Linked DNA regions of Elephas maximus indicus. The protein of the gene in region 2 purifies or fractionates together with the protein of the main gene of each other region. This does not show direct contact. Links are inferred from orthologs where the notes say so. Each region holds a gene or a part of one and is shown on either strand. Other genes may lie near its edges.

Region 1 (10,295 bases), on a different chromosome or scaffold from region 2:
CTCCTATGGCCCTGGTTATGTTTATTCCTAGATACTTTTATCCTTTTGGGGACTATTGTAAATGGTATTGTTTTCTTGATTTCCTTTTAAGAGTCCTCTTGTTAGTGCAGAGGAACTCAACTAATTTTTGTGTGTTGATCCTGTACCCTACCATTTTGCTGAATCCTTCTATTTGTCCCAGTAACATTCTTGTAGAGTCTCTGAGATTTTCTATGTGTGTAGGATCACGCCATCTGTGAATAAGGATAGTTTTACTTCTCCCTTTCTAACCTGAATACCTTTTATTTCCCTTTCTTGCTTTATTGCTCTAGCTAGGACTTCCAGTACAATATTGAGTAAGAGTAATGATAAAGGACATTTTTCCCTTGTTGCTGTTCTCAAGAGGAATGCTCTCAGTTTTTCTCTATTGAGAATAATGTTGGCTGTTGATTTTGCATATATGTCCTTAATTATGTTGAGGAATTTCCTTTCTATTCCTATCTTGCTGAATTTTCATCAGGAAACGCTGTCGGATTTTATCAGATGCCTTTTCTGTGTCAATTGAGATGATCATACGGATCTTTTCCTTTGATCACTGGTCAACAGGTTGGTGGCAAGGGAACTCACACTGCTGACTGACGGGAAGGAGTGGCAGTGGGGGCAGGGGAGAGGGAGTCGGTGAGAGCTCATGCTGCCAATTGCCGGGGGTGTGGCGGCATGGGGATGGCTGAAGCTGGCACGAGCCTCTGGTTGCAGGTCGGACAGTGTGGGACTGCGTGCCATGGACTGCCAGGCAAGGGGGGGCGGTGGAGACTGGTATACTGCTGGCTACCAGGAGAACAGAAGACGGTAAAAGGGGGGAAGCGTGTTCCCCCAGTCCCTGGCCTGGATGCTGCTGTACTCCCTGCAGAGTGCAGCCTTTGATGAGGACTGAGCCCTGACCAGATGCATGGAGGGGGGAGCTGCCCAGCATCTGGCCAGGAGGGGATCTCTTGCCTCCACTGCAAGTGAGCAGTTTTACTCCTATTGTCTGGCTTTCTTTCTGCTCTATGGTTGCTTGGATCCTAGGGCTCCTGCCTGACTTCCAATACTTTCCTTCCTTTGATATGGTTCCTGTTCTGCTCGCCTTGCTTCACTCTGGGTTTGTCTACACAGTATCTCCGTTCCCTATTGTGAAGTTGCCTTCCTGTGCTTCTTATCCAGGAACAGTGCTTACTTTGTCTCAAGATGACCATGCTGCACCTGGCCGGCTGGCAGGGTGCCTACAGTCCATAAATCTCCTCGTTCTCAGTTTTCATCCAGTTTCTCCCTCCCTTTGGTGTTTGATCTAATTCTTCATCCTTCCAATTGCTGTTCTGGGCTCCCAGACTGTTACCTGTATCTGTTTCACTTAGTTTCTTGGCTCTTCGCTGTAGGGGGCGGACTGGTGTGTGTGACTAAGTTGCCATCTTGGGCCGTCTCCGGCACACATCTATTTAATATTCTGTGCAACCAAAGGGATGTATGCATAAGGTACTTCTGCTGCGCACTCAAATACAATGGTTGCTTCGAGGAAAAGCATTTGTGTGACTGAGTTGCATGCTGAACTAGCTACTGTTTTTGAAGAGGAAAAGTAGTTTACTTGAAAGAAGGATTGACAAACTCTGGCTATTCAGAAGTGGGTATTGTGACAATCATTTCTCAAAAATGAACAAAGCGTGCCTATCACTTCAAGAATTAGAAATTTCAAGTGCAAATTTGAATTTCAGAAAAACCTGTATCCTTCACTGTGAACCTGACAGTTTCCCCATACTCAGAGACTGATGATATTAGTGGTAACATTAGCCAAGTTATTTTTTGGTATTGTATCATAAAAAGTGTCAGCATTTGCAAAATCTGCAAACTCACCAAGCCAATACATTCCAAATAGTCAACGCACAATATTACCAATCACGCACGGGTAAAAGATTCATTCTACATACACAACGGGTACAACAGATTTTAATTTAACAGAGTACAAAAAAATGTACTGATATGGTTTCAGATTCCGTATCTTACCTAAGCTTTGAAAAACGTTACTTGTTGAGTTTTCTTGTAGTATTAAAGCAGAATACCGCCAATGATCGAAAAAGGCTACTAAATACCCCTCTAACCACATATCTAAGGCTTCATCTTCTTCACATACTTCAACCAACACATACCACAAAAGACTCAATCAGAAGCGGCTATGACAATTCAGCTGTCTTCCATGAGGCCAGACATTAAAGAGATTGTCAAATGAGAAACAATGGTGTTCTTCTATTTTTTTGGAAAATAATTATTTTTCACAAAAATGTTACTTGGCGTCTCAAGCTTTAGACACTTGCAAGCAGCTGGCTAAGATAGAACCACTGGTCTCTCTTTGCTGTAGCAAAAGAGACTGAAAGAAACCCAAGAAATAGAGAAAGAATTGGGCTACAGGACTAATTATCCATGAACCATGGCCTCCTCTATCTTTAGACCACAAGAACTAGATAGTGCCCAGCTACCACTACCAAATATTTTGATCAGGGTCACAATAGATGGATCCTGATAAAAAGGGGAGGAAAAAAAATGTGGAAGAGAACTTCAAATTCTCAAAGAACCCCGGCTTACTGAACCCGCTGAGACTGAGGGTATCCCCAAGACTATTGCCCTGAGATACTCTTTAATCCTTGAACAGAAACTATCACTTGAAATCACTTTTTAACTAAATAGCAGGTTAGCTCAAAAAGTAGAGAATTTCACCCTTGAGAACTGCAATCTTTTTTTTAAAAAGTTATCCACATGATACCAAATGGACAAGTTATTCTAAAGCACAGATGAGAAGTTTAGGGGGCAGTGAGACTACATTAATGGGAGTGGAACAATTAAAACAGAAATAACGAGAATATTGACACAAAATGAAGACTAACCAACGCACTGAACATGACGTGTAGAAACTGTTGAATGGGAACCTATTTTGCTGTGTATACTTTCACCAAAAAAAAAGAATATTAAAAAAAAGTTATTTATCCTTCCATGTTATGGGTTTACAATAGTTTTTTTTTAAAAAAATGGTTTACTAAACATTTCTGTTTTAATTTCAAATATGGTAAATATCAATGGATAAAATCCATAGAACCAAAACTTCACAGGGGCCCCCAATCATTTTTAATAGTATAAAGGGGGTTCTAGAAACAAACAAAAAAAAAGGAGTCCTGGCAGCACAGTGGTGAAGCACTCAGCTAACTGAAAGGTTGTCAGTTCAAACCCACCAATCGCTCTGTGGAAGAATGATGTGGCAGCCTGCTTCCACTAAGACTACTCCCTTGGAAACATTATAGGGCAGTTCTACTCCAACCTATGAGTTGTAATGACTGGAGGGCAACTGGTTTTGGTAAAACCAAAAAGCTAGAAAACCGCTGCTTGAGAAGGCAAGACAAACAGAAAACTTGTGCTCTCTATTCCTGCTAAAGTTTAACTAGATGACTTACACATTTTTAGAGTAGAAAAACAAATACAAAAAGTTATCAAAACTTCCATCACCAGATACAAGGTCCTAACAATGACTAAGAAAACACCAAGATTGCCTTAATGGACTAGTAATAGCAGGGAGAAAATTTTTTACCGAAAAGATTAACCAAAAACTTGTTCCTTATTAAACTCCAATTCAAACACATTAACAGCACATTTTACGTAAACTTTACGCTGCTCAAATCCATATTTAAGAACTCACTGGTACCTCAAATCACTACACCATATTTAACTTTATTATCGGTTATGCTACTCAGCGACAGTTATTTTTCATCCCAGTTTTTGCAAATAACTGATGAAAAAGAAGAACAGGCAAAAGAGAATGTCCCAAAGCCTGTCACTTAGATTCTTCTAACGTACAATTCATTCTGGCTAAGTGTTTTCTAAAACATAAAGATTCAACTCCGAATTGACAAGTTTCCAAAAGGTACATATAACTTTCCTGCTTGCTTAAGCATATTCAGCAGTATTTAACTCCTCATAAACACCAAGTGTTGATCTATAGCTACAATCAGTTAAGGTCACCTCGGGACGCAAACACACAGGAGCCATCCACCCATCCGTACAGAATTCCTTTTACTCCCCAAAGGAGCCCAAAACGGGGATGGAGGCAGCGGGCCAGTGCTCTCAGGCGGGAGGGAGTCCTGCTCACTGCCTCTGCGACTAGGGGCTCCCGGTGGCCGGCGGCAGACGACAGAACTGCCCCGGAAGGCTCCGGGCACCCGCCGACCTGCTCCCGCCCCGCCTGGACGTCCCCTCGGGCGCCCTCACCGCTCTCGGAGTCGCCTTGGTCGCCCGGGTCGCTGCCTGCACAGGGGGCCGCTCTCGCGGCGCGCCGGGAACTCGCCCAGACCCGGCTCCGGCCCCTGAACGGCCGTCTCGCCGCCTCTGCAGGCGGCCTTTTCTCCGCAGGACCCGGGGCCGCCTGCTCCCGCGGCGCCCCGGGCTCTGTAGGCGACTCCCTGCCGCCGTCACTGTCGCTGGAATCAGCCCGGCGCTGCCGAAAAGTCCTTTTCGGCTTTTGAGCCATGGCAGCAGCCCGGGCCTCGGGCACCGGCCACCGCGCGTGTGCCCGCCTCCCACACCCGAGTCCTGGAAGATCGGCGCGCGCTCCCGCCCTTCCGCCGCGTGCGCGCACCCATTCCTCGCGGCGGCGTCCGCTCCCGCTTCCTCCGGGTCAACAGGAGTGCGCATGCGTGTTTCCCTTCCTTCGATGAAGTTGACAGCCCAGTTCCCTGGGCCCAGGCGTGGGCATGCAAAGTACTCTTTCCAAGTTGTGGTTTCTTAGACCATAGCGGAGCGACTCCCAGAGCCTGCTCGAGTTGAGTCCCACACAGAGAAGCATCCACAAGCTCTCTGTGAGCAAACTGTCTGGGAGTCAGGCACTATGCATGACCAGTTATTCATAATTTATTAATGACTTATTGCAAAGAGAGCTTTTTCTTTTTAAATCTAGATAAATAAATTTCAGGACACTAGAAGGTTTTTTTTTTGTTACGATAGTGGCATGTGATGTGAAAAGGATTCCATAACCAAAAAAAACCTTTGCCACTGAGTCCTCTCCGACTCAGCGACCCTGTAGGAAAAAAGTAGAACTGCCCCATAGGTTTCCAAGGCTGTAATCTTTACAGAATCGGACCACCACATCTTTCTCCCGTGGCTTGGCCGAATGCTTTAACCACTGTACTACCGGGGCTTATAGGACTAGAAAATAGAGACACCTGTGATATCTGGAAGAGCAGCTTCCCACCACCGACTAAGTGCTCCTTAGGGCTAGAATGAACTCCAGAAGCCAGCTGATGGGTAAGGGAGAGGCTAGGCTGCTCCGTTAGGCCCAGTGCTTTTCAATCTACCATCCATCCATTCAGAATTCTCCAGTTCTGTGATGAATGTCGTCTAAGTCACACTATAAAGCTGCTGATACAAAACCAAACAGTAGACTGTAATTTTAAAATGGTGAGGAAAATGATCATAATTGTGATTAGAGGGAAATTCTGTGCTCTTTTAGGTACTACGTCAAGAAACAGCCCTACATTATACAGTTTTTTTTCCACCCAGTAGCCCAGGCACCATGCTAAACCGTAGAGGGCTACTCAAGTCTGATGTTCTTCAAATCACCTGCAGACTATGCGGAAATGGCAGATACTGACTGAGCAGGTCTGTGGTGGGTCCTAAGAGTCTTCATTTCTAGCAAGCTCCCAGGTGAAGCTAAGGATGCTGGTCCGAGGACCACACTCTAAGTAGCAAGGCCCTAGAGTAGATACAAGATAAATTCATCCATGTCATGGATTGAATTGTGTCCCCTAAAAATATCTGTCAACTTATCTGGGCCATGATTCTCAGTATTGTGTGATTGTCTACCATTTTATGTGGTTGCCCACCATTTTATGTGATTTTTCTATATGTTGTAAATCCTATCGCTATGATGTAATAAGATGGATTAGCAGCAGTTATATTGATGAGGTCTACAAGATTAGGTAGTGTCTTAAGCCAATCTCTTTCGAGATATAAAGGAGAGAAGCAAGCAGAGATACCTGGGGACCTCATACCACCAAGAAAGCAGTGCCGGGAGCAGAGCGCATTCCTTGGACCTGAGGTTCCTGTGCCGAGATAATCCCAGACCAAGGGAAGACTGATGACAAGGACCTTTCTCCAGAGCTGGCAGAGAGAGAAAGCCTTCCCTCGGAGCCGGTGCCCTGAATTTGGACTTGTAATCTACTAGACTGTGAGAGAATGAATTTCTCTTTGTTAAACCCATCCACCTGTGGTATTTCTGTTATCGCAGCAGTAGATGACTAGGACAATCACCCTTAAGAATTTTTTTTTTAATGTTCCTGGTAACTTCTTCATGATGAACAACTGCATATCAGATTGTTACAGCATCCAAATGCCATTGTGTATCTCCTAATCTGAAAACTGAATTATCTTCAAAAGGCAGGCTAATAAGAACCTATTAAAAGGGATTAAGTTTATCTAACTGTAGAAGTTATTCCCCGTAAAGGAAAATCTGCCTACACCTTCTTAACAGCGTTCCCCACCAGTCTTCAAAATCGTGGCAGGTGTTTGTCTCAGTTTGAAAGGTGGGCAGCAGGACAGAATTCACTCTCAGCGTTGCTTGCAAAGGGAGCAGTTTATTTAAGGATAAGCTGAGTGTACAGCTGCTGTTCCAGAAAGCTGTTCTCTCCCCTTGAAAATCTCCAACTCACAGACAATGTCTACCTTGAACGTGAAAATGGCAGGCGGAGTTCAACCTTTTTAGCTGGGTTTAAAGCAACTAGTAGACCGTGGGATAGCTGCTCCTTCCTCATTTTAAGCTACACCGTCTATCAAGACAAGGCCTCTCTTGGTATCCTTGTACTAGTACAGTGTCCAGTGTGTGGTATGTACTGAATTAACATGAACCCAATGAACTAAATTTGTGGATGGGGCAATTCTGAAACATCTATGTTCAACAGCAATAATGAAACCTGAAAACGAAGCACTGCAACTTACTGGGTGCAAATATGTTAATAGACAGGTAATATACTTAAAACAAAACAAAACCCAAAGCCATTGCTGTCAAGTGAATTCCAACTCATAGTGACCCAAGACAACATGGTAGAACTGCGCCGTGGAGTTTCCATCGAGCAGCTGGTGGATTGGAACTGCTGTCCTTTCAGTTAGCAGCTGAGCTTTTAAACACTGCACCACCAAGGCTCCAGGTAATATGCTACTGAGATAGAAATAAAAACTGCTATTTAAAACATAAACTAAATCTTTGTTCCAAGGGAGATAGATTAGTGAGAAAATTGAGTTTTCCTGGGTATGGCTTGAATGGGAGAGGATGAAATAGAGATAACTTGCTTAATAAGGGGAGTGGGGTAGATTTTGGAATTCCCCCTTCAGTCCCAAGGAAAGCAGAGTGAAGACTCCAGGGTAGCATTAACAGATTTAGAAAAAACTGTAAGACGCCCAGCTAAATTTAAATTTCAAATGAATGAGAAATAACTTTTTAGTAGAAATACGACCCATATAATATTTGGGACTTATTTGCGTGGGACATATTGTAACTCTAGTCTGTGGTGAAGAGAGCTGTGAAGAATTTCAAAGGTAGTGAAAGGCTTCACAATGGGTGGGGGGGGTGATGGAGGGGGTGGTGATAGTTCTGGAACCTGAAGAAAACCATGGCCAGTGAGACGTTCCCAGTAACAAGGGTTAGGGGGACAAGAGACTTTTAAGGTATGGTGCTATTTCCCCTAATCCTTTAGTAAGACTTTGCTCTACTCCGCACACTCTTGGGTTAACACTGCTGCTGGGAAAGAAGGACTGAGCAGCTGAAGTGAGGACAGTGATGATAGCTTCACGGTGGGGATGGGATGGCAGCACCACAGTTTCAGAGCTGAGAGCGTCAGAGGAAACACAATGGATGACAGGCTGCTGAACACACTAGCCTAGAGGTGGCTATGAGATCGCCCCTTCCCCAAATGTACCCAAGATGGTGAATCTTGAAAGGGGAAGAGACTCCACTGGTTATACATGGAGACAGGAAAAGGGGCCAGAGAGCAAGAATTGTGTTTCTCCTAACAGTCTTTCCAGGTACCCACAATTATAACTGCCTTATATTGTTTGTTCTTTGTTATGAACACTAGGAATTTTCCCCCAAGAACTTGAGGATAATGCCATATCTATTATTTGCTTACAATATTTTCTTATTCCTTTGCATATAATTTGGAATTACAGAGGGTGATAATTGAAATTTGACATATAAAAAATTTCCAACTTCTGAAAATCTGGCCGTCTATACCCAAATATACTGTTTTTACCCTAAATAGGTGAAATGGCATTTTATTTAGCTTGTCTTGCCACTTATTGCCATAGTGGTTAAGTGCTACGGCTGCTACCCAAGAGGTCAGCAGTTTGAATCCACCACGCGCTCCTTGGAAACTCTACGGGGCAGGTCTACTCTGTCCTGTAGGGTCGCTACGAGTTGGAACGGACTCGAGGGCAGTGGGTTTGGTTGGGTTTGCCACTTATTGGTGGGTTCTGAGCTCCCCCTAGTGAGAAATGGGCTACTTACATACGGACTGTGTCAATCCTTCAGAAACTGCCCCCTTCCTTTGATAGAGCTATCTTTAAAAAAATTCTCTTGTTAAAAACAACAAATACATTTTCGTTTTTATGCCAACCTATTTAAAACTTTCCCAGAGGAAAACATTTTGGGAAATTATGTTTGTAAGTAAAATAACTCTCTCTTTTAAGGCCAAAAAAAAAAAAAATCATTGTGGAAGCACATTCATAAAATTATGGACCCACAGCACACAACAACAATTGTGCTTTCAGTTTTCAGTATCTCTTTTTGAAAAATTCAATCTTTTCTCCGTTTATCATGATGTTGCTTATTGGTCCAGTTGTGAGGATTTTTGTTTTCTTTATGTTGAGGTATAATCCATAGTGAAGGCTGTTGTCTTTAATATTTGCCAGTAAGTGCTTCAAGTCTTCCTCACCTTCAACAAGCAAAGTTGTGTCATTTGCATATTGCAGGTTGTTAATGAGTCTTCCTGCAATCCTGGTGCTGTGTTCTTCTTCATATAGCCCAATTTCTCAGATTATTTGGTCAGCATACAGATTGAATAAATATGGTGAAAGATACAACCCTGATGCATACCCTTCCTCAGATGGCACAGGACTGGGCAACATTTTGTTCTGTTACACATAAGGTCACTATAAGTTGGAGGTGACTTGGTGGCACCTAACAACAACGTTTTTCTAGCTTTGCCTTTGACTCAGAATCTCAACTGTCATTATTCATAACTTTGGGAGAAATAAAGAAAACTCTGGGAGTTCTAAAAAACATTCAGAAACCTCAAATTACCATAATGTGGGCCTCAGAAATCTGAGATTTGTAATTATCGCCACTTGCCTGGAAGGCGCTAATGTCAATCCTCTCTAAGTTACGTCCTGCTTAGTCAAAAACAGGCTGCCTCATGCACTGGGGTGTTAGTTGCAGTCCTAGATTTTATCCTATTACAAGCTGATAGGATTGAACATTACAAGATACTCATAAGATGTCACCAATGACTCTATTAGTGTCCCGGGGCTGCTGTAACAAAATACTACAAACTGGGCAATTGTAACAACAGAAAGTTATTGTGTCACAGCTCTGGAGACTGGGGATCTGAGTTTAGGGTGTTAGCCGTGTTGTTCCTTCTGATGCTTTGAGGGGGAATCTCTGTTCCAGGCCTCTCTCCTAGCTCTTGGTGGCTACAGGTGTTCCTGGGCTTGCAGCTGCAGCATCACATGGCATCCTTCCTGTCTACCTGTTTCTGTTTATCTTCATCCTTTTATAAGGATGCGTGTCATATAGGAATAGGACCCACTCTATTGTTATGGATTAAATTGTATTCCCCATAAAGACTGTTGAAGTTCTAACCCCTGTACCTGTGACTGTGACCTGGAATTTTTAAATAGGGGTTTTCTTTTGTTATCAGTTGTGTTAAATGTGGTCATACCAAAGTAGAGGGGATTCGAATCCTAATCCCTTCTGAGGATCCACTTCTGAGTGGTGTCTTATAAAAAGGCAGAACAGATACAGAAATAGAGTCACCCTCTGGGGGAAGACACTGCCTGAGGATCCATCTACAATCCAAGGAATGCTAAGAAACGCTCAGGGCTACCAGAAACTGAAAGAGACAAGGAAGGATCTTCCCCTGGAGTAAACAGAGAGTGAGCGAGAGAGACACAGAGCATAGCGCTGCCCCGAATTCAGACTTCTAGCCTCCAGAACTGTAGGAAAATAAATTTCTGTTCTTTAAAGTCATCCACTT
Region 2 (10,975 bases):
AAAAATTAAAATTCAGGTAAATGAGGGTTCAAACCCTCTGCTATAAATATGTATCCACTATTATAAGTATGTATGATTTCTTTTTTTAATACTTTACCATAAAGGAGCTTTGTTCTTAAAATATTTACTAATTGAGGTATAATTTTTTTTTTTTAAAGGAAGATCTCAAGACAGTGGTTTGCAGTCACTGACCACAATACCGTCAGAGACAGAGACAAAATATGACATTCATTAAGCACCTGGTTCTCTACTGTTTCCCTCAATCCTAGCTGTGTACTTTTTAAACTGGCTGTATTGAACACAGAAGTTAATTTCTCACTGCCTCAGTTTCTTCAGGTATAAAATGTGGTTTTATTAACAATAGCTATCTTGTGGGGTATGGCAAGGATTAAATGAGTTAATATATGCAATGGGCTTAAAGTGGTGCCTGGCACACAGCAAATGCCCAATAAATATTACCCATTACCGTCAAGCAGATTCCGGCTCATAGCGACCCTACAGGACAGAGCGGAACTGCCCCACAGAGTTTCCAAGGAACGCCTGGCGGATTCAAACTGCCAACCTTTGGGTTAGCAGCCTTAGCACTTAACCACTAAGCCACCAGGGTTTCCCAATAAATATTAGTTGCCACTAAAGATTTTTTTTAACTTACAAATTTACAATGCCATGTTAAGAATACCACGTTAAAGAAAAATAACTATAGTACTGCTGAAGAAGATGTAAACTGGTCATAAAAATCAGTAGATTTTAAATAAGTATTGCTTTGTATCTGACAATCTGTTTCAGAACTAGTTCTAAAGATAAGTGTACAAATATATACATATAAGAATGTTTATCACAATTTTTTATTTACAATAATGAAGACTGAGAAACTAAACATCTATGAGCAGGAAATCGGCTAAATAAGTTACAACACACCTTTACAACTGGAATACTATGCAGCCAATGAAAAGAATAAGGTATATTTACAGCAGTTCATGACATGTTTCTAAAAAAAAAATCAAACCACAAAACAACACCCATTGAGAGATCTCACTCGTAACAGCTAGAGTTCATATTTGTGAGTAAACATGCAGAGATCAAAAATGTTCCTCAAAGAATTAAAGCTGGGGATATTTTCAGGAATTTTTTGCTGTTTTCTTTATACCTCTGTATATGGACTTCTTACATTCCCTAGGGCAAGTTACTTCACCTACACCGTAAGTCTGTAGTGAAAATGTTTATACATATAGCACCTAGAACAATGCCGGGTGCACAATATGTACTCTCTATATATATTAGTGCGTTTCACTTTTACACAATGAACAGGAAAAGCTTTTACCAGGAAGTAACTAAAATTAAAGAGAAAAATACCCCTACTTTCAAAGAGTTTTTCCACTCCAACAATAGTTTTTGGGGGGATAAATTTTAGAAGATTTTGTGGGATGAGGGAAAAAGGAATAAGGCTAGGGTATATAACATAAACCTCCAACTTCTCTATCTGGCCCTGAAGTTAAAACACGCCAGAAGAAAACAAAGTCACAAATAGTTTGGGAGCATGAATGAGTGAAATCTCCCACTGAATCACTCTCCATTTGCAGCACTGCAAGAATGGGAAAATGGGACAGTTATATGCAGTGCCACTCACAGACTGACAAGCCTATGTTCTGATAAAACCCATCCCGGTTTTTTTTTAAATCTGCAGGATTGCATTTGAAAAGGCAGTCACCAAAAGTGACTTCAGTTGCCAAGTATGAAACACACTCCAGCACTGATGAACGCTGTAAGCTCATTGCTAAAGAATACTAGTTCTATGAAAAATGAATTATTCAAGATATGAACGTATAAAAACAGCCCTCCAGAATTTCAGGACTTGGGCATTATTCCAAATATGAACTCTTTTTCACCTACAGACAGAAGTCAAGCACTATTGAAGGGAATCATAAGGGCACCACCTAGAAACAAAAAGGGACAGACATTCATTTTGCAGGGGAAAGGGAGCAACCACATATACAGATGAGACCTCTAGCCCCAAAGAAAGCATTTTTAGTGGTGTACATACACAGGGATATAAATATTTTGTGCCAAACTAAAGTCTTGTGAAACATGTTTGTTCCATCTCAGCCAGATAACAAGCAATTTATTTTTGCTTCACAGGCATCAAGAACCAAGTGTTCCCAACTTTACAAGTCATTAAAATCGGCTGCAGTGACTTTAAACTACAGCCATAGGCTGTATGTTGTAACGGAAAAAGCTCAGAGTGAAAAATCAGAAGCTCAGGGTTCTACATCCGGCATTCAACTGCGTAAACCTGCAGAAACCACCTTAACAACTCTGGGTCTCCTTTTCCCACTCCTTGAGTGAGGCTCTGAAGTCACTTCAGCTCTGAGGGTCTGTGACATGTTGCTTCAACGCCATCAAGTTTTGCTGGGTGTTTTTTTTTTTTTTGGAGGGGGAGGGGCAGCCTAGGGAGAAAACTGTCTAATACTGTAAACTAAATACTTTTCAACATTAAAATGTGACATACTTCTGCTTTATATATTCAATATACGGAACTGCATTAAAAAGTACACCCTATCCTGGCATTTACTGGACACAGCAGAGACCTACAAATCAATCCAGATCATGGGCTTCTGGTCAACAATTCCCCAAAGCTACACAGATGGTTTAACACAGTTATTCTGTACACACACACATACACACACGATAAGATAAAATCATCCAAGGAATGTGAACATTCAGGACATTGTGTTTTTGCCTGAATTATCCAAAGAGATCTCTGTACTTTCGGGATAAAAAAAAAAATTGAACAAGAAATGACTTTAATGCAATTACTAATGCACCTTTAAAAAAGGACTAAGGGAAAGGAAAGTTATCTGAAACAGTAAGTCTGTATTTCAAGTCCCAAACAACCTCCCCACGGGGCAATATTTTGCCGTAATTAAAACCATTTTTTGAAAAGCGTTTTTTCAAAAGCTACTTATAAAGAACAGCAGAAAAAACAATAGAAAATAACTTATGGGGGGGGGGAAAGAACGCCTTCTATCCCTACCCCACTGATTTCCGATGCCAATGCTTTAACTAAAGCAGGAAATAAAGGAGATGGCGGGAGCGTAGGCAGAGAGCGGAAGTTTGTCTAGTGTCTTTGAAGTGTTTGAATGGACCGAGGCACGCTCCCTCCCGCCAAACTATAAACGTAGCCTTCTCCATCCCACCAGCCTTCCAGCCCGCCAGGTGTACTCCACGTTCCCCTTTCGACAGGCCCTCTACTCTCCCTTCCCCCGAGAACTCCTCGTTTGCACGTCTCACACTCAACTCCCGCCACCCCCATCCCAGCCTACACAAGAACCCAGGCGCTTCTTTACACTCTCTGACTCTCCCTTCCTGAGATCCAGCCACTCCCCAAGGTCCACTCCCCGGTCCCTCGGCCTGAGAAGTGCCTGGTGCCCTTGGAAGCGAATACTCTCGCCGCGCCCTCCCCCCTTACCCCCCCGCCCCGGCTCCAGGCCTTACTCGGGAACCCGAACCACGAGGTCCGCGGGTCCCTCCCGCCAGCCCCCCTCGAGTCGAGCTCTAATCGGCCCGTCAGATACGTCCTCGTGGCCACAACAGGCCCCTCCACCTACCCGACGGTGGCGGGCGGCGGCCCAGCCACACACACACATTCCCCGCGTCCTTGCTGGGCCGACCGCGGAGAGTGGCGCCGCTTTCCTCCGCCCAGAGGGAAACAAAGACTCGAGCTCCGGAGCCCTCTCGGTCAGGCCGGCCCTGGCCTGCTCCCCGCCGGCCCGCCGCGGCTCCAACAAAGCCCGAGCCGCTGCCTCGCGCCCCCGGCCTGGCTTACCCATCGGTCCCCGCACGCTTCTTGCCGGAGGGGTAATCCTCCCCCAGGTCCAACCGGTGCCGCTTGGACATCTTCGTACTCTTCGAGCGGGTGGTTACCAAGAAGGAGAAAAAAGAGAAGCCAGTGGCTGTAGCGCCGCAGTCGAGGGCAGCTACTTTGGAGAACCCCCACCCCTCCCGCTACAACAGCCTACACCGTGCGGCCGGAACCAGGAGCTAAAATGGCGGCGGCGACGAGGGCTGGGCCTGCGCGCGCGCTTCCGCAGCGTACGTACTGTGCGTCCTTGCGTGCGTAGTGCACGCGCACGACTCTCGGAGGCGGCAACTCTGGCCCCGCCCACCAACGCTCTGGCCCGCCCACCCCGCGCCCCGCCTGACGCCTCCCTATTCCCGGCGCTTTCCGAGTCTGAGAGGGTGTAAAGAGCCGTGAGACGGAGGCGCTTGAGGCTCCGCTTCTGTCTCACCGTCCCGCTCTGATTTAGGAAATTGAAAGGGAGGAAGTCTAGTCCTAGTTAGGAAATCCTACCTATCTGTATTGTCTTGGCTTTAGGGCAATCTGAGACCAGCCAAGCCAGGACTGGAACCTGATCTAAAACTCCAAATCTAGAACTTGTAGCTACTGTGCTAAACACTCAATTGCAGAGAGAAAACTGAGATGAGAAGATGTCATGACTTGCCATGATCCATTTTGCGCTTTCTCTACCCAACACGGACAACATGCATTTGGGCTATAAAAGTTTTGTTGGAGTAGAGAAAATTGGCAGTAAGGGGATAATTAGCTTTTTTTTTTTTTTTTTAATGCCTGTTTTGCACTTGTGACAGCGTTAATCCTACCTCTTTACCTCACTCTTACGGTAACCCTGCACGGTAGATGTTATTTTATAGGCGTGGAAGCTAAAGCTGAGAGCGGTTATGAAATGTGCCCCAAATCGCAGAGTCAATAGTGCTGTACCCAAAGCAACAGCAAACTAGTGGAGCAAGATGCCTCTGGTGCCTTTTGTGGACCTCTCCCCTTCTTCCTGGGTTGTGTCCATTCAAGAAAGAAATGCACAAGAAAAAGAGCCATGGACCAAACCCAGCTGGGTGACTCCTGTAGTTCATGCAATTGACTCTAGCTGTCTTGGAAGGCCAAGCTCTGGTTCTATCAAATCCTTAGCACTGCAAGTGAGAAGATTAAATACAACTTAAATATTGAACACTGAAAAATAGGGTTTTTATTTTTTTCTACCAAACACACATTCCAAAGTCAGCACCAAGAGAACTGGATATCTTCTTTTCACTTATAAAATACTCAGTGCAAGTTTCTACCCTAAATGTACATTAACAGTGGATTGGCTTTTGTCAGAGATCACAATGTATGATCACTGAATTGTAAACCTGGGAAAGAATTTCCAGCTGATTTTCTCTTTCCACTTAATTTTAAAACCCCATTGCCGTCGGGTTGATTCCCATAGGGTTCCCAAGGAGCGGCTGGTGAATTTGGAACATTGACCTTATCGGTTCACAGCCAATATCTTAACCACCTGAGCCACTAGGTCATGACCAAATTCACACAGCCAGTTAGTATCAAAGACAGAATTAAAATTCAGAGTTCACTTTAACTATTTCATCCTCAGGTCTCCAAGTTCCCAGTTGGAGAGCTACAATAACATGCTCTAAAAAAAAAACGGAAAAGGTTGGAATTCTGCCTTCAGAAGTGCTCCGGCCTAAGAGGAGTCAGCCACTCAGAAGTGTGCAAAGAGCCTTCGTAAATGAAGAACTGAAACCAAGGTGATGAGACCTTTTTCCTTGGGCCTAGGATGTATCTAAAGAAACCTGTAACCTAATCAATTGTGTTGTAACATGAATTACTGAAGAAAGGTCATATTTACCAAAGATAGTGGCCTTTCTGGAACCCGGAATAAAGACAACTAAGGGCCAGAATCTGCCAGGATGTTTGTACTTTCTGGGAAGAGGAGCAGAGCTCTGAGTCTAGATGCTCTACCCTAGATTTTCAGACAAAACTGACTCTAGAGTAAAGAAGGGCCACCCACCAGGACCCACAGCTTGTTGCCAGAGAATATTTATTACCTTTACTCTTACTCTTTGTCTACTAGACAACCCTCTGATCTAGTATCTGACCTATGGCATGGATTTACTCACCTGGAGGGAATGTTTTATGCAGCTATCCAGCTCCAGATTGCAAGCCAGGGTTATCTCCCAACCTAAAGTAATGAATGGTAATGATAATAGTTAATGTGTATAAAGCATTTAGGAGTCCCTGGATGGCAAAAATGGTTAAATACTTGACTACTAGCCTAAAGGTTTGCAGTTCAAACCCACCCGGAGGTGCCTCGAAAGACAGGCCTAGCAAAAAGTCACAGCCTTAAAAACCCTGTGGAGCGGTTCTATGCTGCACACACAAGGTTGCCATGCATGAGAATCAACTTGACAGCAACTAACAATAACGACAACATTGTCATGGATTGAATTGTGTCCCCTGAAAATGAGTGTCAGCTTGGCTAGGCCGTGATTCCCAGTATTGTGTGGTTGTCCTCCATTTTAGGATCTGATGCAATTTTCCTATGTGTTGTAGATCCTACTCTCTGCCGGTGGTTAATGAGGCAAGATTAGGTTATGTTAAAGAGGATTAGGGTGGGATGTAACACCCACACTCAGGTCACAGCCCTGATCCAATGTAAGGGGAATTTCCCTGGGATGTGGCTTGCGTCAGTTTTTATATTGCAAGAGATAAAACGGGAGAGAAGTGAACAGAGAGATGAGGACCTCATGCCACCAAGAAAGAAGCTCTGGGAGTGGAGTGCATGCTTTGGACCCAGGTTCCTGTGCTAAGAAGCTCCTAGGCCAGGTGAAGATTGATGACAATTACTTTCCCCCAAAACAGACAGAGAAAGACTTGCCCTGGAGCTGGCACCCTGAATTCAGACTTCTAGACTGTGAGTTAATAAATTTCTCTTTGTTAAAGGCATCCTCTTGTGGTATTTCTGTTATAGCAGCACTCGATGATAACTACGAATGTGGTAACAGAAAACTGGGATACTGCTCTAACAGATACCTAAAATGTGGAAGCGGTTTTGAACTGAGTAATGGGTAGATGCTGGAAGAGTTTTAAAGTGTCTAGTAGTAAATGCCTAGATTGCCTTGAAGAGACTTTTCGTGGAATTATGGACATCAAAGGCAATTCTGGCGAGGATTCAGAAGGATATGAGGAGAGTTGTCTCAAAGGGTGGAGCCATAACCTTCAGGGTTTCAAATGATAGGGCCATAGCCTCCTAGGTTTCAAAAAATCAGATCTTCATCAACTTGATTCCGGAGTGTTGGGCTGCCTCTCACGAGCGCCAGTGGGATGGGGCCAGATCCACTGTCCAAAGCTGAGGGGGCAGGGCTGCCATGCCTGAGGTTCAGAGGGACAGGGTCTGCTGGGGCAGAGTAGGTAGGGTCGCCGCTCAGTTGGGCTAGAAAAACAAGGCTGCCCAAATGCAATGGCGCAGGACCAGACAGTTTTGTGCTGCTGTACATAGGGTCGCTATGAGTTGGAGCTGACTCGACGGCACTTAACAACAGCAGCAACAACAAATGCAAGGGGGCATAGTTGCTGTTCCAGTGGGCCTGGAAGACTGAGCTGAAGCCCAGGGCCGAGGGGCCTCCGCTCAGAATCCGGAGAGTGTGGCCAACACTCAGAGTCTGGAGGGCAGGGCCATTGCCTAGATGGTCTCAGAGAAAAGAGAATTATTTTCAAGCCTTGAGAGCTAGTGTAAATTGTTCTGCTGGATTTTTGACTTGCTAGGTTTTGTTATCCCTTCTTTCCCTTCAGTTTTGTATCCCCCCCAAAATATGTGTCAACTTGGTTAGGCCATGATTCCCAGTATTGTGTATTGTGTGGTTGTCCTCCATTTTGTGATTGTAATTTTATGTTGAGAGAATTAGAGTGGGATTGTAACACCACCCTTAACTCGGGTTACCTCCCTGATCCAAGGTAAAGGAAGTTTCCCTGGGATGTGACCTGTACCACCTTTTATCTCCCAAGAGATCAAAGGAAACGGAAGCAAGCAGAGAGTTGAGGACCTCATACCACCAAGAAAGCAGCACCAGGAGCAGAGTGCATCCTTTGGGCCAGGGGTCCGTGCGCCTGAGAAGCTCCTTGACTATGGGAAGATTGAGGACAAGGACCTTCGTCCATAGCCAAAAGAGAGAGAAAGCCTTCCCCTGGAGCCAATACCCTGAATTTGGACTTGTAACCTACTAGACTATGAGAAAATAAATTTCTCTTTGTTAAAGCCATCCACTTGTGATATTTCCGTTATGGCAGCACTAGATGACTAAGACAAGTTTCTTCCATTTGTAATGGAAATGTCTAGCTTTTGGCTGTTCCACCGTAGTACTCTGGAAGCAGATACCTTGTATTCTAGGTTTCACAGATGAAGAGGAATTTTGTAGAAGATGAGATTTTGGATTTGGAGTTGATTTAAGACTTTTGCTATGATATGATGGGAGCTGAATGTATTTTACATGTGGCAAGGACATGAATTTTGGGGGCCAAAAAGTAAAATATCATGGATTGAATTGTGTCCCCCCAAAATATGTGTCAGCATGGCTAAGCCATGATTCCCAGTATTGTGTGGTTCTCCTCCGTTTTGTGATCTGATGTAATTTTCCTATGCATTGTAAATCCTAATCTCTGCCTGTGGTTAATTAGGCAAGATTAGGTTATGTTAAAGAGAATTAGGGTGGGATGCAACACCCTCACTCAGATCACAGCCCTGATCCAATGTAATGGGAGTTTTCCTGGAGTGTGGCCTGTATCACCTTTTATCTTAAAAAAATCAGAAAACCCATTGCCATCGAGTCGATTCAGACTCATAGCAACCCTATAGGACAGACTAGAACTGCCCCATAGAGTTTCCAAGGAGCACCTGGTGGATTCGAACTGCCGACCTTTTGGTTAGCAGCTGTAGTTCTTAACCACTACTCCACCAGGGTTTCCCCTTTTATCTTAGAAGAGATAAAAGGAGAGCAAAGCAAGCAGAAAAAGAAAGACCTGTATTACCACCAAGAAAGAAGAGCTGGGAGCTGAGTGCATCCTTTGGACCTGGGGTCCCTGCACTGAGAGCCTCCTAGGCTCAGGGGAAGATTGAAGCCAAGACACATGTAGCTATCCAAGGAATACTGGGCCCACAGATGTTGAAAGGAGACAAGGACCTTCCCCCAGAGCTAAAGGAGAGAAAACTTCCTAGAGCTGGAACCCTGAATTCAGACTTTTAGCCTCCTAAACTGTGAGAGAATAAATTTCTGTTTGTTAAAGCCATCCACTTGTGGCATTTCTGTTATAGCAGCACTAGATGACTAAGACAATCCAAGACAGTCTGTGTGCGTAACCACTAAGCTTTGCTGCTGATACATGGGTATTCTCATTCCATGTTATTCTTCTAAGGTTTACTAAGGATAAATTCCCCCAATCTGACAGTGGACTAATAAACTTCAGCTTCCACATTTTTCCGTTAGAGGACAAGTTTATAAAGCTATCAGTGAAGCCATGATTTGGAAGGTTGGAACCCTCTGATTCCAGAGCTATGTGTTAACTACACTGTTTCACTACTACCCACCCATTAATTTATTCATTTATTTATTCACTCAACAAATATTTATTAAACTCTTCTGTCAGGAATTGAGTTAAGTGCTGGGAAAAAAAGCAAAGAAAAATAGCCATAGTCCCTGACTTCATGGAACTTATCAGAGAGGAAGAGATAACAGCTACACTCACAGATGACTGTCATCACAGCCGTGATAAATGTTAAGAAGGTCAACTAAACTACAGGGACAGATGCCATGAGAGTATATGTAACAAGTGGCATTGACCTAAATTAAGAGAGTTAGAGAAGGCCTCTCTAAGAAAGGGACAATTATATAAAGACCTTAAACTGTAGAGCAACTGACCAGGCAAAGAGGGAGGAAAGAATGCCAAGCAGAGGAAAAAGCCTGTGCAAAGGCCCTGAAAAGTAAAAAAACCAGGTGCAGTCCATAGGCAGGAAGAAGAATAAAGTGAGTGCAATGATATAAGGAGGGCGCAATCCTGCAGTTGCAAGAAGGGGCATGACACGCAGAGCATAAGAGTTCCTGCTAAGAGTATAAGACTTTAGAGCAAGAGGAAACTGTCAAAAAGACTTACATGACAAAATGATATGATTTCTTATGAGAATTTGCCAGGATCAACTCGCCAATCTCCCTTTTTGAAATCTCCTTAGCTACAACATGCTCACAGTTGAGAAAGAATTTTCAGTACTGCTGTTAATCACCCTGTTTTCACTCTACTATTTAATAGATATAAATAGTTACAAAGTGTAGTGGTCACTATGACCCATCAAGGATGAAAGACAGCCCTGCATCTGCTGGGACTGCTGCCGGCAGACAGCCTTCAGCTGTCAGGTTTTTCCTGGAACTTCCCTGGTTAAAGAAACTGCCTTACCTGAGGGTGCAACCTGCCTGAGACAGTCTGAATACATGGAATGAACATCGTGGAGGTACATAGGCCTGGCCTCCTCTGCCTAACTTGGGCCAACTCTGAAGACCATCTGAGCTTCAGAGCTTCCCATGTGATCAGATGAGGTTTTTTTTGTGACCGCACCAGAGCCCTACTTCTCTTTCTGTCTCATCCTACTTTCTTCCCTTTCCTTCCACAGATATTGATTCTAAGAGTTGTTGTTAGCTGTCATCAAGTTGGCCTTCAACTCTTGATAACCCATGAGCCACAGAAGGAAACACCGCCCAATCCTGCACTATTTCCATGACGGGTTGTAGATTGGACCATTGTGATCCATGGGGTTTTCTTTGGCTGATTTGCGGAAGTACATCTTTAGGCCTTCCTTCCTAGTCCATGTTAGTCTGGAAATTCCACTGAAACCTGTACAACATCGTAGCAACAGACAAGCCTCCACTTACAGAAGGGTGGTGGCTATGCATAAGGTGCATCGGACGGAAATCAAAACTGGGCGTACCACATGGAAGGTAAGAATTCTACCACTGAACCACCAATGTCCCTGATCCTAAGTTTACTCCCTAATAAACTTATTGGATTCTAATCTTTGCCTCAGAGTCTGTGTTCCATGGAAACTAATCTAAAGAATTTGGTGCCAGGTGCTATCCAAGGCAGCAAATA

What was found. Proteins that work in one complex are often made in the same cells at the same time.
Region 1: the proteins of DHX15 (region 2) and GCFC2 purify together in Homo sapiens (co-immunoprecipitation; 3 studies listed by BioGRID and IntAct, with this or other methods). This does not show direct contact. The link is inferred for Elephas maximus indicus from reciprocal best matches to the Homo sapiens genes DHX15 and GCFC2.

Annotation. Positions count from the first base shown.
Region 1 is NC_064835.1:60,012,780-60,023,074, reverse strand, and holds the start of GCFC2 (intron Large complex component GCFC2), read right to left. Parts: upstream 4,620-10,295; 5' UTR 4,523-4,619; coding exon 4,264-4,522; intron 1-4,263.
Region 2 is NC_064823.1:138,875,165-138,886,139, reverse strand, and holds the start of DHX15 (ATP-dependent RNA helicase DHX15), read right to left. Parts: upstream 4,063-10,975; 5' UTR 3,895-4,062; coding exon 3,824-3,894; intron 1-3,823.